Linked DNA regions of Mus musculus: region 1 is reported to be linked to region 2. The links are microRNA targets in miRTarBase. Many come from high-throughput screens and were not tested one by one. Region 2 holds a microRNA gene; the other region holds the end of a gene's coding sequence.

Region 1 (3,411 bases), not on the chromosome of region 2:
AGTAAATCCATTTTAACTCCACAGGCTCTATGGTGGTGCATGTTATTCAACCTCTCTGGACCTTTTGAGAAGACTCAGCTAATCTTCAAATCCCTCCTCATCCCCAGAATACGGTTTTATCGAAGTGTCTGGTATATCATAGGTGATTAATAAATGCTTAATCTGGTGAAACTCCAGCTATAGGCTATGCTAGTTTCCAATATCTTCCTGCTTTCTAATATTTTTAAAATTTTAATGTAGTCACACGGGGTGGGGGGGGTACCATTCTGTGATGCACGTGTATGGAGATCAGAGGACAATTTTAAGGAGTCAGTTCTCTTTGTCCGTCTTTACCTGGGTTCCAGAGCCCAAACTCGGGTCACTAGGCTTATGTGGCGAGCATTTCACTGGCTGAGTCTCCTTGCCAGCCCCTTCTAGTCCTCCACACTGAACCGCCCACCTGTGTGACTCAACCCCAGACAGTGCCTGACCTAGGGTAAGAACTCAAGTAACAGGCCCTCCCTATCTCAATGATAAATTACTCTTGGCTTAGCTTTTATTTGACCCTACTGGCTCCACCCGAAGTTGCAAATCTACCAAAGGTTAAGGGCTGGTAGAGGGACCTGGACAGTTCCCCCTCTTCACTGTCCCATACACTCCAAGGGCACAGTGTATCAGTCCTGCATGCCATCTGCTGCTTCCTCACACCCACACCCAGTGTCTCCTTGGATGGCCTGGTGGAAACAGCATGGAGCCTCAAGCTGGCAAGTCCTTTTATTGGGAACAGAATAAAACAAAAGGTCTCCCTCCATTTTGCCTCTTCCCAACCTTCCCAACAGGCTGTGCAAAGTCAGACAGGACGCCTGGCTGCACAGCAGGCTACAGAGGGCACAGGCTTCTGCAGGGGATCGGGGGCTGCAGCTCGGAAAGAAGGGGTTCATTGCACCAGGGCTCATGGGGCTCGGGCACCCTGAGGCGTCAGGGGCTTGGCCAGCCCTCTCCATCCGCAGCACAGTCTCCTGCTGTAGAGAGACAGGCCCTTTCAGCTCCAGGAAGCTGCTGATAGTGGCTGGTGATTCCTGTCTAGTTCTAGCACCTCCTGCCCGCTGAGGTAGGCAGCCCCTTTCTGTCCATCTTAAGGCCCCAGGATGCATCACCTTCAACTTAGCTCCCCTAGGGAGCCATGGCTCCATTCGCTTTTCCTCGCAAGGCACATTTGCCTTGAATGTCCGGGGAAGCTTCATCTACAAGGGCCTCAGGGTCCTGACACCTGGGCAGGCTGAATATGCAGCATCTGTGGCCCCACTGTGCCATGGGGGCTGGGAGAGGGGCACCAAAGACCACCTAAACGCTGGCTTGGTTCTCCTGGGAGCCCAACAATCCCTCCATCAGAATGTGTACAATAGAGCCAGAGGTGGGAGAAAGGCCAAGAGGAAGAGCCAAGCTGACAGCCCAGCTTTAGAACATTGACTTACAGAGGGCCAGGAGGGACTCACAGAGAGGCTCTGCAGACCAATGTGAGACAGGATGGGGCAGGACTCAGTAGTCATTAGCCCAGCAGCCAAAGAGAACACACAACGACACAACCGAATCTCTCTCTCTCTCTCTCTCTCTCTCTCTCTCTCTCTCCCCACACACACACACAAACACATGCATACTTACACATAGACATGTATACTCACGCAATACACTTGTGCACACGCATACATAATTTGCATGCACGTGTTGCACACATGCACTTACCTTCTCCCTCATTCACTCAGATAAACATAGGTTCACGCACATGTGCACATACACACATTGACTTGTGCAGTCATACATATACAGGCACTCATATTCATACCCTTGTTTGCTCACATGTGTACATGCTTAGCCACCCATACAAATACATACATACATTTGCGCACACAGTGCACTCCACATGTATGCACACGATGCAGGAATTGGATCCAGTTCAGGAGTTCAAGCTCTGTCCAGCTTCATTCGTCCAAAGTTTTCCCATACCCCAGTGGAGCCCATCAGAGTCCTAGGCTGAACCCCTAAAATCAGTTCCTGGTGGGGTGCAAAGTCTCAGAGTTGGGTGCTTCTTGGCAAGGCTGAGAGAACTTTCGGCTCTGAGGACAGGAAAGTCACTGCCTTTGGAGCGGCTGAATAGCTCCCAGGGCACCCATCTCCCCAGATCTCCAGTGAAGAGATGGGACCACTGACAAGCAGGAGCCCATAGTAGCGTTGGGCCTTAGAAAGAGTCTTTGAGGGTGAAGTATCATGCAGGGTGGGAATTCTCCAGGCCCTCCTTAGAGTGAGGAAGGAGGCAGGAAAGATAGGGTTTGTCCAAGCTGGGTCCCCCACCCCCACCCCAGACATCCTAGGACGGTCTGGGTCTGATGACTCAGATCAGCCTCATGGGAGAAAAAAAAAAAAAAAAAAAAAGGTCCAGGGTCAGAAAGAAGAAGATCCTGCCAAGGAGCAAAGGTCTGGGGACAGGGAACAGCGGGCAGGCACCCTCCCTTCCGCACCACATGGCAGGGTGGGCCCAGAGAAAGACTCAGAAGCGGGTGCTCTGGTAGCGCAGCCTCCGTAGATCTGCCAGCCCCTCGCTCCGGCTGTACACCTCCCTACAGGGACTCTCGGCCAGTCACCGGGCCCCCGCCCCTCCCCCGCCAGCGCTGCTGCTGCCGCTGCCGCTGCTGCTGCCGCTACTGGAACTACCACTGCTGCACCGGTCCTCATAGATGGAGATCTCGATCTGGGACGATAGTTAAGGAGCTTCGAGCACCCGGCTGCTAACCAAAGAACGGAGTACAGACCCAGAACGAGCCTGTGACCTGAAGCACTCTATTCCCAAAGACCAGAGGCCTGACTAAAATCCAAACCCTTCTCCAAGCCTCAGCTAACAGTTTCTGAGAGGACAGAGGGCTGAGTGCACAACGGGATCCCATGGACAGATTCTGGCTTTCTTCGAGATGCACTGGGAAATGGTGTTAGATACAAACACTTCCCTTTCCATATCCCTAATGGCCCACTCCAGTTAGGCCAGGCCAGGCCAGTCCCTTCACCTGCTAACAGTCAATTATTACATCTGCAAAGTGGGGACACTAACAGCGCCTTGAGGTTCCTGTGAAAATTAAATGGAGTACCTGAGTACTGAACACAACACAAGAACTCAGGAAAAAAAGAATCGGGGGAAATATGTGTGTTTCTGGGGACTATGTTTTCTGAACTCTTCTCTCAGCTTTATTGTAAAATATATTATTTTAACTACTGCACGGGGAGCTATTCACCTGAACTACTGTTCCAAGTGGGGTCGGCAGAACCCATCCACCCCCTGCCCGGCCTGTCACCAAGACAGCCAACCCATACAGCAACCCCATCCTGCCGCTCATTTTGATCTTCTGTATTCAGTGGAGAGTGGGACTCAACACAGGCTATTCA
Region 2 (3,411 bases):
TTAAACAGTGAAAGAGGGAAAGAAGGAAAGGGAAGGACAAAAAACAGAGGGGAAGGGATGGGAGGAGAGGGGAAGGAAACACAGGGGAGGGGAGGGGACAAGAGGGAAAGGGAGAACAGGGGAAGGAAGGGACAAGAGAAGAGAGAGGAGGGGAAGGGAAAGGAGGGAGAGGAGAGGAAATGAGGGGAAGGGAAGGAAGAGAAAAAGAAAACAAAGACATCACCATCACAGAACCTAGGAAAGAGACACAGCTCTTCAGGAGAGAGAAGAAGTGGGTCCCACTAGAAAAGAAACACTGAGTCCAAACCCTCAGCTGTGAGTTCAGACATCAGCAACAAGGATGGCAAGAATGGCGGAGCAGGAATGAGCCTTGAGAACAGATTTCTAATAGTACGGCCATAATGGACGAGAAAACACTTGCAAAGTGGGCTCTGCTTTGGTGTCCTAACACGGGACCAGGCGCTGGTATTTTAGACCCAAAAATCAACGGAAAACCAACGAAAGCAGTGAGAAGAAGTGCAATATTCGCCTATGTCTCAGGGTGCTCCAAGGTCATTTAAAACAGTAGGCATTCATGCATTCCCATGAGTTCTTCTTATTTACGATCAGGGAATACTGCAGAAAAACAACAGAACCTTAGGCAAGGGCAGAGGAACCAGAGAGTCCATTTGACCTGAACACTAGCCACAACGCTGCTTCTTACAGAAAAAGAATTAGGCTGGGACACATTTCGTACAACAATTAAAGCACTTCTCTGTGTAAAAGCAAGCACAGCATTCTAGTTTGAATTATGTTAGGAGACAAAGATATCACCAAAAATAGACTCTAATATCATATAAATATCAAGTGTTGACAGGGAAAAACAACACTTTAAAAAAATTCTTAAAGAATTATTAAATAAGCAAAAGGATTCTTAGTTTTTAACGACCAGAAATGTTTTCAATATTAAGAGCAACCCAGCTTTACCTCTTAACCCCATTCAATTAAAAGTGACCTTTTTCATAGAGAATGAAAGAGAAGACAGCTATTAATGAGGGAGGTATTCCAGTCTCCCGAGCCAGATGAACGATAAATTTTAAATTAAGATATATTGCAATCTGAAAACTCAAAGAAAATCATCAGGTGTACGAAAAACCAAAAGAATCACACCATAGCCTGCCTGTGTGCTGAGTTCCAGAGATCCAACTCAGGCTGTCAGGTTTCCACAGAAGCCATTTTCACCTGGAGGGAGAACTAGCCCTGGATCCGTTCTGCATAAGCTCTAAAGCTCTGAGTCACATCTCATTCAAATAGATCGATCAGAGCCACTAATGTGCGTGTAGGTGAATGCCAGTGTGTGTGTTTATGTATATGTATGTGAACATTCATATACATACATTTACATGCACACATAAGTATGAACCCATGCACATACATGGGGGAGGGCATCACATGAATCGCATGCTGATCTCTAACTCATCATGAAGTGAAACATGAATTTGAACTCCAGGACCTCCTGACGCTGGCAAGAGTATTCACCTCCTAACTGAGACATAGCTCTGGCCCAGTACTGCATAAGCTCTAAAGCTCTGAGTCACATACCATTCAAAAGGATAAACGAGTGTCATTCCTGTGTGTGAGTGTGTGTGTGTGTGCATGTGTGTATATGCATATTCATATAGAGAAATGAATATGCACTCAACTATACACCCATGCATATTTTTGGTGGGCATCACATGAATGCCAGGATGATCACAAACTTATCAGGAAGTTAAGCATGAATTTAAATTCCTGATCCTTCTAACTCTGGCAAGTGGTTTTCACCTGGTGAGTTAGATGTAACACTGACCCATAATTATACACTCTATAAAACTCTAAGCACATATAAATCAAACAGATCTATGACTGCCATTCTTATGTGTATATGTATGTGTGTGTGTATGTTCATATACATGCATGTACAAGCACACTTACCTACACATATATACACATACACAAGGACAATCAAATGAATTCCAGGCTGATCTCTAACTCATCATGAAGTTAAACATGAATTTGAACTCCGTATCCTCCTGACTCTGGAAAGAGTATCCACCTCCTAACTGAGGCATAGCTCTGGCCCAGTACTGCATAAGCTCTAAAGCTCTGAGTCACATATCATTCAAAAGGATATATGACTGTCATTCCTGTATGTGAGTTTGTATGCATGTGTGTATATGCATAGTCATATAGAGAAATGAATATGCACACAACTATACACACATGCACATTATTGGTGGGCATCACATGAATGCCAGGATGATCTCTAACTCATCAGGAAGTTAAACATAAATTAGACCTCCTGATCCTCCTGACTCTGGCAAGAATACTCACCTCCTAACTGAGACATAGCTCTGGTCCGTTACTGGATAAACTCTAAAGCTCTAAGTCACATACCATTCAAAAGGATATATGAGTGCCATTCCTGTGTGTGCTTGCGTGTATATGCATATTCATATAGAGAAATGAATATGCACACAACTATACACCCATGCACATTTTTGGTGGGCATCACACGAATCGCATCTGATCTCTAACTCATTATGAAGTTAAGCATGAATTCGAATTCCTGATCCTCCTGACTCTGGAAGGATTATTCACCCGGTGAGTGAGATCACGCACTGGCCCAGTCATACAGAACCTCTAAGACTAAGTCACATATCATTCAAATGGATCCATGAGTGGCGATTTTGCGTGTATTTGTGTGCATGCTTGTATGGGTATGTGTGTATGTATATGTATACTCATATACACACATGCACATGCACACATACATATACACACAGGCACATACACTGGGGGGGGGGGGCGCCATCACATGAATCTGAAGCTGATCCCTACCTAATCATGAATTTGAGAATGAATTTCCACTCCTGATCCTCCTGACTCTGGCAAGCATTTTCACCTTGTGAGTGAGAGCACCCACTGATCCAGCCCTGCATAATCTCTCAAACTCTAAGTCACATACCTTTAAGGCCTGACTCTGGCAAGCACTTTGACCTGTTGAGTAAGAGCATGCACGGGCACAGTACTGCATAATCTTTAAAACTCTTAGTCACATATTATGCAAGTAGATGAATGCAAGTCACCATGTGTTTGTGTGTGTGTTGCATGTGTGTGTGTGTCTGCACATGCATATCCATATACATTCATGAACATGCACACACATGTAAGCACACGTGCACATACATGGGTGGCATCAAATGAATACCAGGATGATCTCTAAATGGAGTTTGAACTCCTGATCCTCCTGACTTTGTCAATCATTTACACCTGGTGATTGAGACCATTCACTGTCCCTCTACTGCATAATCTCTAAAACTCTAAGTCATATATCATTCAAATGGATCGATGAGTACCATTCCTATGTTTGTGTGTTTCTGTGCTTGCATT

What was found. Region 2 holds the annotated microRNA mmu-miR-669h-3p (UAUGCAUAUACACACAUGCACA, at 1,631-1,652, opposite strand). A microRNA usually pairs through its seed, bases 2 to 8, with sites in the 3' UTR of a target mRNA and lowers its output. Matches are read on the target gene's strand: a 7mer-m8 pairs with bases 2 to 8, a 7mer-A1 pairs with bases 2 to 7 and ends in A, and an 8mer does both.
Region 1: miRTarBase lists Golga7b as a target of mmu-miR-669h-3p. Seed matches in the 3' UTR shown: 7mer-m8 at 1,630-1,636.

What each region holds. Positions count from the first base shown.
Region 1 is chr19:42,267,666-42,271,076 of GRCm38, reverse strand. Golga7b (golgi autoantigen, golgin subfamily a, 7B) reads right to left here. Exons shown (of 5, transcript NM_027694.2): 5 at 729-2,725. The coding sequence ends at 2,615. Among named protein-coding and RNA genes, the nearest start is that of Gm34347, 7.7 kb to the left of the region's middle.
Region 2 is chr2:10,516,460-10,519,870 of GRCm38, reverse strand. Mir669h (microRNA 669h) reads right to left here and starts at 1,716; the gene lies at 1,592-1,716. The region is part of intron 10 of Sfmbt2 (Scm-like with four mbt domains 2); the gene reads right to left. Mir297a-4 (microRNA 297a-4) reads right to left here and starts at 2,804; the gene lies at 2,707-2,804. Mir669i (microRNA 669i) reads right to left here and starts at 2,267; the gene lies at 2,141-2,267.